2 linked regions of the Caenorhabditis elegans genome follow. The protein of the gene in region 2 purifies or fractionates together with the protein of the main gene of each other region. This does not show direct contact. Each region holds a gene or a part of one and is shown on either strand. Other genes may lie near its edges.

Region 1 (4,309 bases), on a different chromosome or scaffold from region 2:
AAACAAAAAACTATGAGCGAAAAGAAACCTTCAATCATCGATAATGGAGATGGATTGTTTGAAACTCATGTCAAGTTGGAAGATATTCAAATTCTAATTAAAGAACAGATGAATACTGATTCAAAGCTTGGAGAGAAGACCAAATTAACAGTGGTGGGAGATGGAAATGTATGTTCTTATTTGTTGTAGCTGTTCTTCTTTTGCTAAATATTTAATTTTAGGGATTCATGAGTCGTGTGGTACTTGTGGAAGCAGATTGGACTATTCCTAACGAGAACCTTCCAGAAAAAATCATATTAAAACTGACATCTTGTATCAATGTTCACCACCTTGTTTCACAGATGAAAGAGAAAAACCCAGATGCATTCACTGAACAACAAGAAGCTGAATTATGGGCCATGTTCGAAAGAGAAGCTCAGAATGTGCACAATCGAGAAGTCAATCTCTATAGGATAACTGAGAAATGGAACAAGAATGACGCGCTGTTGAGTCCAAAGATTTATTTCTACAAGAAATTCGACTGTGAAAACAAGACTCAGGGAGTTTTGGGAATGGAGTATGTGGATGATGCTGTTGTTAGGCATCTCTATTGTAATGCAAAACCACACGAGTTGCATCCAGTTAGTTTGAATGATTTAAACCATAAATTAAGCACAGCATTCAGATTTTACAATCATTGGCAACACTTCAAGCGGGAAGTCTTCATTTAACGGAAGATGAAATCAATAGTATTTCTGGATATGATTTTAAATCAATGGTTGGAAGAATGATGAGTGAAGAAGGAATGAAGCAAATGTACACTCGAGCACGTCAAATTAATCCGGAACGTCTGACAAAACCTACAGATGCAGTCGAAGCATTAGGAATGGATATCGTCAACTTTGAGATTTCATGTCATGTGAACAAGTACGCTGGTGAGTTCTGGTTTTTAATTTATGAGAATCAATCAAATCATAACTTAAATAATTAAACAATTATTTCCTTGTTTGTAAATATAATTTGGAAATTTTAGGCATTCAAAAAAATGTTCTGGTTCATGGAGATTTATGGGCAGCCAATATTTTGTGGAAAGAGAATGATGGAAACTGTGTAGCCAGCAAAGTTATTGATTATCAGGTAATAAATTAATAAATTATGAAAAACATTTTTTTATAATCGTTTTAGCTCATCCACATGGGAAATCCAGCAGAAGATCTTGTTCGTGTGTTTCTTTCCACGCTCTCTGGTGCTGACAGACAGGCTCACTGGGAGAAACTTTTAGAACAATTCTACGAGTATTTCTTGGAGGCGCTTGAAGGTAATGAGGCTCCTTACACACTCGATCAGGTAATAATACTAGTTTCCTTTATCAATACTGATTAATTTACTTCCAGTTAAAAGAGTCATATCGGTTATATTTTGTTGGTGGTGGTCTTTTTGTGATGCCACTGTTTGGCCCTGTTGCTCAGGTAGTCAATACGTACAAGTATTCTCTAATAGTTAATTAATTACAGGCTAAACTTTCGTATTCGACTGATAATGAGAACGTGGAGGAGTATCGTGAGGTTCTCACTGAAAAAGCTGAACGTCTCATGGAAGACTTAAAGCGATGGCACTTGTACAGTAAAGATGTGACAAAGGATTTAGAAACGGCGGAAAAGTTGACTTTATGATAAGAATACCGATAAAATTATGAAATTTCTCGAAACTTTTGAATTGTGAAGCAACTTCTTAATAAAGTAACTCATTGACTTTAATTTTTAAACCACGGCTTAGAGAAAATTAAAAATCAAACACTGCAGCTTTTTTGATGCGAAAATTCATTGATATGGAACAAACCTCAAATTTGATAAATAATACAATAATTTGTCAAGAAATCACAAAAACGTTCTTTTGAAATGCAAGTTATAAGACATACGCAAGATGTTATGTCGGTGGCTGGTTTTAACTATAAAATACGAAACAATTGACCTCCTGACACAAAATTTCCGAGCTTGATTTGTCTGATATCATTTGTGCTTTGGAATTATTGTTTCATGTGCATAAAATCTACACTGTGTTCATTCACGATAAGAAGAATTTCAGACAGAAACCACAGGAGGTTCATCGATATAAAATGCTAATCATTTGATTTAAAGAACCATACTCTTTTTACTCTCGTCGTTAAGAAATGACTGCAGAAAAATTAACGATTCTCGATAATGGAGAAGGTTTATTTCAAACACACGTTTATGTGAAAGATGTTCAAGAAGCTATTGGAGAACAGATGAACACTGAGTCAAGACTCGGAGAAAATACCAAATATACTGTTGTTGGAGACGGAAATGTAAGTCTAAATTTTTGAATGATATAAACACTGAGATTTCAGGGATTCATGAGTCGAGTAGTTCTTGTCGAACCGGAATGGACCATTACGGAAAATCATCTCCCAAAGAAATTTATTTTGAAAATCTGCTCATCCTTACATGTACATGGAATTGTTGATAAAATGAAAGAGTCTAACCAGAGCATAAATGAAAATGAAGAAGAGTTGTGGGCAATGTTTGAAAATGAGGCTCAACATCTTCATAATCGAGAAGTTAACTTTTACGTGCTAGCTGAGAAGTGGAATAAGCCGGAGGAGCTTCTCAACGCGAAAATATTTTTCTCGAAGAAGTTTGATTCTGAGAACAAGCTCAAAGGATTTTTGGGAATGGAATATGTCGATGATGTGACGATCAGACATCTGTACTGTAATTTAAAGCCGTATGAGTTGCATCCAGTGAGTTTTCAATTATCTAAACTGTATCTTTTGTTTTATTCTAAGGTTCTAAAGGCAGTTGCACAACTCCAAGCCGAGAGCCTTCACTTGAGTGATGAGGAACTTCAAAGTATTTCTGGATTTGATTTCAAACAAATGATGGGTACGATGTTCAACGACGATGGTCTAAAAGGGAATTATAAACAAACAAGAGATATTAATCCGGAACGTCTCAAAGAGAAAACCGACATTGTTGAAGCGTTTGGAATGGAAGTTGTCAATTTTGAATTTGCTGGTAACCTAAATAAAGTCGTCGGTGGGTAAAATGAGAATGATATTCTGATGGTAAACTTTACTTAGGAATTCATAAGGATGTTTTGGTACATGGTGATCTTTGGGCAGCCAATATTTTATGGAATGAAAACGATGGAAAGTTTTCCGCAAGCAAGGTTATTGATTATCAGGTGAGACTTTGAGATATTTCGAAGAAAGTCAACTAGAAAAATATTATCATCAGATTATTCACATGGGAAACCCAGCTGAGGACTTGGTTCGAGTTTTCCTCTGTACACTCTCCGGAGCAGATCGACAAGCTCATTGGGAAAAGCTTCTTGAGCAATTCTACGAATATTTCCTTGAAGCCCTTGAAGATAATGAGATTCCGTACACTCTTGATCAGGTAAGAATCAACCTAACTAATAGCCGCTTAACATATTTTTGATTTCAGCTTAAAGAATCTTATCGTTTGTACTTTGTAACCGGAAGTCTTGTAATGTTGCCACTGTACGGACCAATTGCGCAGGTACAATTGAAAAAAACAACTTGAAGTTTTTTACAAGAATCATTTTTCAGACAAAACTATCATACTCAAAGGATACCGAACATGTCGAGGAATATCGTGAAATCTTGACTGAAAAAGCTGAAAAACTTCTTGAAGATATGGAGCATTGGCATTTTTACAGCAGAAATTTGACAGGACGCCAAGAAAAAGATTCTGTGACTAATTAATTTATGATTTAATATGTATGAGATTGATATAAATGCTTACCTAGAAATACCTGATTTAGTGAGTTCAAACAAAATCGAACACGCAGAGGATTGTAGCAAAAACAATAACTTCCTTTTTTGTTCAAACGTAATAATCTTTCGATGTTCTAGTTTTTGGTTCATAACAATGTTTGGCCAGAGAACAGGAAGGATGAGGATCATAAAGTGGTACAGTGTCAGGGTATTGTGGTTTTTTGATTTTTTTTTTGTCATCCATCCGTAGAGAAAAATGTATATTTCAGGAAAACTAATCCTTTATACCCTTCTTAACTACACAATTTGACAACAAAACTGGTGATTAGTATAAATTTTTAGAAAACTAAACTCTACATAAACACACGTGATTGAACTATAACAGACGACCTCTTTTTACCACTAATTCTCTCACAATTGCGACATAAAACCCACTGTGATTTTTTTGTGTGTCGATAAGGAAAGCGGCAGAGACCACACCGTGCTCTATAATATAAAGTTGACAGCCATTTGTCGCTTTCAGATTCAGTTTTGATTGGAGTGAAGAAACGATGACAGAGGCTGAGAAGA
Region 2 (6,089 bases):
CACTATGCGCACATCGCATTTTAACTGTGAAATAAATATACTGTTAAATAACGGAAAAATATGAAAAAAAAAAAATCGGACCAAATTCCACTGAAACGAAAGAAAAATTTTGAAACTACAGTACTCTTAAAAGGCGCACAACGTTTTGCGTTAACCAAAAATTTGTCGCGTCGAGACCAAGAACGCAAAAAATCGCAAATTTTCGCGTCTAAGTAGTAAATTTACAGTTTTCCGATTTTTTCCGATAATTTTTTGGAAATTTTTGTTTGATTATTTGATTTTCTCAAAAAAAGATTTTTCCCAAAAATTATTGAAAAATGGACAATTTCTCTTTTAAAAAATTTTTAAAAAATAAATTCTGGCTTTTTTATGTTTCAATCGGAAAAAATTATAGAAAAAAGGAATTTTTCAATTTTTCAAAGTTTTCAGCAAATTCTAATGTATTTTCAAAAAATTTATTTTCAGATTGGATTTATCATCATATCTTTTTTCCTTATTCTCCTCGTGGTCTTATCATGCATCCGGATCCGCAAAAACACTGGAATTCACAAAAATCGTGAAAATGTTCCAAATTTAATTCCCGACAAATTGAGCCTTTCTCATCCGAATATCCCTTTTATTGATGAAGATTCGATTATTTTTGATATTTAATCTTTTTTTTTGGATGTAAATAATAAATTTTGAATTTTTTTGAGTACTCAAAATTAGAGTTTATTACAACAACAAAGCTTGGTAAAGTGTAACAGGAACAAACGTAACAAAAACAGGCGAAAAAAAAACTGGAAAACAGAGAAGGCAAAAATTCAGAGATTTCATTCCGAGAATGCTTTGACGACCGGTTCGTATTTGGTTAAATCGATGATACGGATCAAATCGGCGGCAGTTCCACCAACAGAAAGAACTGCTGCCACGTCTGGATTGAATTGAGCACAATGGAGCTCTCCGATGGTCAGCTTCTCCGAATGAACTTTTTCGATTCCTCCATTGGTGTCTTCAACTTTCCAAACATTCATCATCTGGAAATTTTTGATTTCGATGGGGTTTTTTTTTGAAACATTTTTGAGTTATTGTGACTATTGTACAACTTTTTTAAATTTTCGTCCAGATTTATAATAATTTCGAAAAATCGAAAATTTTGGCTGTTTCCAATTTCCAAAAATCGCCTCAAATTTTGGTCATTTTTCTCATTTTTTGAGGATTTTTTTTAGAAAAAAGCGGTAAAAACGAAAGTTTTTAGACGCCTGCATTATTTTTCATTTAAAAATACGACTTTTTAGATTTTTTTTTGCAAAAATATATACTTCTGGAATTTTTAATTTTGATTTTTTTCGTTTTTTCGTTTGATTAAATCGGCAAAATTGGATTTCTCAACTCTAAATATTATCCGGATGCAATTTTTTTTGAAAAATACGATTTCGGGTCTCGACACGACAGTTTTTTGTTGAATTTAAAAATGTGTTCGCCTTTAAAGAGTACTGTAATTTTTTTTCAATTATAATTTGTTTGTTTTTTAACTCAAAGAAACACATAAATTCTAACAAATCGTGAGAAAAACTATGAAAATAATCGATTGAAAATAATTCCGCAACGAAACGAAAGTTTGAAATTACAGTAATCTTTAAAGGCGCACACCTTTTTAAATTCAACAAAAAAAACTGCCGAGACCATAGGTAATGTAATTTTTGTCGCAAAAATCACAAAAACACTAATTTTTAACCAATTTTGCCGATTTGACCAAAAATTTCGGGATTGAAAAAAAAACGAAAAAAAATCATGTTTTTGCAGAAAAAAGGATTTTGAAAATTTTTTCATTAAGAAATTTAACTTTTTAAAGTACAATTTTGAGTACTTTAGAGTAATTTTTAAATTTTTTTTTATTCCAGAAAAAAAATTAACCGCTCTAAAAACGTTTTTTTTTCTTGGGAATTTTTTTCATAGGGAAATTTAGCTTTTTCTAGTAATTTTGAGTCTTTCGGAGTAATTTTTTCAATTTTTTAAATTTTTCTCCATTTCGAGCGCATTTCTAGTACCTCATCTTCGCCAACAGTAACCAGCAATCCTTTAGTAAGTGCAGAAAGAGTAAGTCCACCAATCGGACCATCATGAGCAACACCTTCCCAAAGGCATTCACCAGGTTTCCGCATATCCAAATGACGAAGTCTTCCATCATCAGACGAGCAGAACGCGGTGAATGGATTAAAATGATTCCAGATCACTTTTTCAATTTGTCCATCGAATTTCCACGCGGCTGAAGCATTTCCAGAAGATTCACGACAATCAACAACGTTGACTTGTCCCTTCATAGTTCCGAGCAATAAGAATGTGGATTCATTTGGATGCCATTTCATTGTCTGAATCTCTCCACCCTGATCAGGAATGATTTGAGCCGGTTTAGCTTCATCAAGATCCCACAGGACAACTGTTTTATCAGCACCTCCACTAGCAAGAACATGAGTTGTAATTCGATTCCAAGCAAGTGAAATAACTGCATCAGTATGTCCTTGAGCACTATTATCACGCTTCTTTCGTGCAGCTCCTTTCACTTTTCGTTCCTTTTTTCCCAGAGTCAAAAACGGGGTTGCAGTGTTCATAATATCGAGATCCCAAATATGAATTTCCGAGTTCATTGTTCCGACGGCCAGTAGATTTCCTTTTCCTGTTTCCTCGTTTCCTGGATCATGTTGAACTGGTTCAATGCACAATGGTGGAGCATCGAGAATATAGTCATGATGACAGTACCAATCACTGTCAGCTTCATTGTATACGTAGCACTCGAGTGTGAAGTCACCCTGGAAAAATTAGGAATTTGAAATTATGCTTTTAAACTTTCTCTATACTCTTTTTCTCGTTTTTGTTGAAAATTTCACTTTTTTTAATATTTTTTTGTGAAAATTTAATTTTTCTTCGGTTTTTTAAACAATTTTTACAAATTAATTTTTAACATTTTAGGTTAAATTTTTTTAACCTCCATTTTTTTTTGAAAATTACAATTTGAGATTTTTTTTTGAAATTTTGAAAATTTTCTCTTTTTTTCGATTTTTTAAAGCATTTTAATTTTTTTCTTACAATAGTTTTTTTGAAATTTTCATTATTTTTTAAATTTAACTTTTTTCGTTTTTTTTTTTCAAAATTTTACTATTGAAAATAGTGCTTTTTTGTATTTTTTTTAGTTTTTATTTTTTTCCTATTTATTGAAAATTTCACTTAAAAAAAATTTTTTAATTTCATTTTTCTTCGGTTTTTTAACCTAATTGTTATAAATTTTAACTAGTTTTCGAAAGTTTTTATTGTTTTTTTGAAAATTTGACTTTTCAGTTTCTTATTTATTTTTTTTTTTAATTTAGTTTGCTCAATATTATCAAAACGCAAAAAAAAAATCGATTTTTCGTTTAAAATACGGTATCCGGTCTCGACGCGACAAATTTTCGATAAATGCGAAAAAAATGCGCCTTTAAAGTGGAATTTTTATAGTTTTTTTTTTAGTTTTTTTCCCAGTTTCGTAAGTATTTTGTATGTTTTTTTTTTTTTGATAAATAAAAATGTTCTTGTTATCTAAAAATTGAAAAATAATTTTGTTGATGTAAAATATATTTAATAAAAAAAATTTTATTTTATATAAAAGGAAAAAGGTAAAAAATCGATGAAAAATTTTTTTCAGAATTTTTTTCGGTTTAGCTCAAAATGAAAACCAAAAAAAAATACGAAAATTGGATAAATGGATGTGCAAAAAATTTTCAACCTGATTTTTAACTTTTTTCTGTCATTTTGAATATTTTAGATCAATTTTTTAATTTATTTAAATTCTAGTAAAGTAACCTTATCAATTTTGGCAACAGCGACCATATTATCATCTTTTCGAACCATAATCTCATCTTTTTCCTCTTCTTCATCAGAATCAACCTGTTCTGTAACATATGGATCATCTTTATTCGTTGAATACATTGCAATTCCTTTCATTCCATCTTGTCCTTCTGGTTCATCTTTGATATTCTCATTATATCCTTTCATATATTTCTTTTCAAATTCTGATTCTTCATCTTTCATTTCAACATCTCCTCTTCCACGTAGTCCTTTTAATTTCTCATTATCTGATTCTTCATCATCGTCAAGCTCTGTTTCATTATCAGTTGATTCTGGAATTGCTCCTTCGATCAGCTCTTTTAGCTTTTCGTCGTCCAACTTGATTTTGTCTGGAATTTCTTTTGCAACTCCACGTTGGATCCATGATAGATCCGATACCATCAGTACACCATCCATTAGTTCTGGAAATTTGGGCGTTTTCATCGGATAAAAATGAATAAAAATGCTGATTTTTAATGAGAAAATAAAGAAGAAAATTCCTTTAAAAAATGTTGGGAAATCGACTTTTTTTCGCTTTTTTGGAAAAATAAAACTCAATTTGAATATTATTCGTTTTTTTTTTGGATTTTTTTTCCAAAAAAGAGCGAAAAATATTCAAATTGAGAATTATTCAACATTTTTAAATGTGTTTTGACTGCTTTTTTTTGAAAAAAATCTTAATTTCAATATTTTTCGGTTTTTTTTCTTGGAAAAAATCTTCATTTGAATATTTTTTGGAAAAATAAATCTCAATTTCAATATTTGTCGCTTTTTTCGTAAAAAATATTTATTCGAATATTTTTCGCTTTTTTTTTGGGAAAATAAATCTAAATTTTAATATTCTTCACTTTTTATAGAAAAAAAAAATCTCAAACTGATATTTTTTTCGCTTTTTCTAAAGAAAAAAAAACCTCAATTTTAATATTTTTTGCTTTTTTAAAGCTTTTTTTTTAACAAAAAAACTTAAATTTCAATAAATTTCGGTCATTTTTTTATCTTTTGAATTTTAAAAAAGCGATTTTTCCTGAAAAACCAAAGAAAAAATTAATTGACAAGTATCAAATACGCATTTGAAGCGTCGTTATAACAAAAAAATTCAAAAATATTAAAAATCCAATAAATCACAATAAATTTATTCATATTGTCTCGAAGAAAAATCTTGATACGAAATTTCCACGGGTGGTCGTAGAGCAGAAATCAGAATATTTCCTTGCTCATCAGGAATCACACTGTACAAACGAAGAAAATCGTCGAAAAATTCGAGATTCGCTGGAAATCCAAGCCAATCGGATAGCAATTGAGATGGAAGCCTAGCGACAGGAGTCTTGAATGCCACGGATATATTTTTCATCGCTGATTGACGAAGAATTGAGACACAATCCGAGAGTGAGTGCTTGAGAAGTGGATCGAGTTGTTGGAAAATATCGAAAAATCGGCGATAATTTGAGGAATAAAATGATGATATTATGCTTTGAATGAGATTAAATGATTCGTGTGGTAGTTTCCGACGAAATAGGTAGAGATCATGAAGAATTGATGATTTTCGATGTAATTGTCTGAAGAAGAAGCAGGCCGATATCAAGGGATTCGGGATAATATCAGTGGAATTCGAGACTTCTTCAAACCACCTGAAAAATCAGATATTTTATTTTATGAATTTTAAAGGTTTCTGTGGTTTTTTGCTAAAAATCACAGAGAACTTAAATTAGAAAATAGAAAAGTATTATTTCTGAATTTCCGCTCAAATAAGTGACTTAGTTTCGATATTTTTGCGTTTTCCGGCTATATTTCATGATTTTTTCTTTATTTTTTTTCCCTAATAATTCGAATGCTAAACTTTTTTTTTCGGTTTTTCAGGCATTTTTTCCGCTTAAAAATTTATTTTAATCACCGATATCACCGATTTTTTAGGCCAAATCTACAGCTTCGGTCAATTTTTATTGGATGGCCAAGATTTAGGCTTTGGTGAAACTTGGTCACTCGAAAAAATTGACTGAAACTATAGATTTGGTCTAAAAATCGGCAGTTTTACATCAATTTTTGCGAAAAAATCGAAAATATATTTTACAAATCGAATATGGAGAATTAAAAATAATTCCGTTTTTTTCAATTCTTTCTGGCGTTTTAGGCGAAAAACTGTTAATTTCAGATTGATAATCTAGTTTTTAATCAAAAATTGAAATAAAAATGTTCGTTCAACCTGAAAATACGACTTTCTGGTTGAAAATTTCAAAAAAAGACTTCAAAGT

Evidence for each region.
Region 1: the proteins of pwp-1 (region 2) and T16G1.6 fractionate together in Caenorhabditis elegans (co-fractionation; one large-scale study listed by BioGRID). This does not show direct contact.

What each region holds. Positions count from the first base shown.
Region 1 is NC_003283.11:12,935,000-12,939,308, reverse strand, and holds T16G1.6 (CHK kinase-like domain-containing protein), read left to right. Parts: upstream 1-2,134; 5' UTR 2,135-2,149; coding exon 2,150-2,305; intron 2,306-2,347; coding exon 2,348-2,740; intron 2,741-2,785; coding exon 2,786-3,035; intron 3,036-3,079; coding exon 3,080-3,183; intron 3,184-3,236; coding exon 3,237-3,398; intron 3,399-3,446; coding exon 3,447-3,521; intron 3,522-3,571; coding exon 3,572-3,727; 3' UTR 3,728-3,771; downstream 3,772-4,309. Other genes in the region: T16G1.5 (CHK kinase-like domain-containing protein), read left to right, coding at 13-168, 222-620, 665-914, 1,013-1,116, 1,165-1,326, 1,374-1,448, 1,494-1,652; T16G1.7 (CHK kinase-like domain-containing protein), read left to right, coding at 4,291-4,309.
Region 2 is NC_003282.8:13,232,324-13,238,412, forward strand, and holds pwp-1 (WD_REPEATS_REGION domain-containing protein), read right to left. Parts: upstream 4,263-6,089; 5' UTR 4,258-4,262; coding exon 3,817-4,257; intron 2,790-3,816; coding exon 2,031-2,789; intron 1,017-2,030; coding exon 813-1,016; 3' UTR 697-812; downstream 1-696. Other genes in the region: C48D1.5 (Glycoprotein), read left to right, coding at 466-651; tag-115 (SAC3/GANP/THP3 conserved domain-containing protein), read right to left, coding at 4,973-5,468.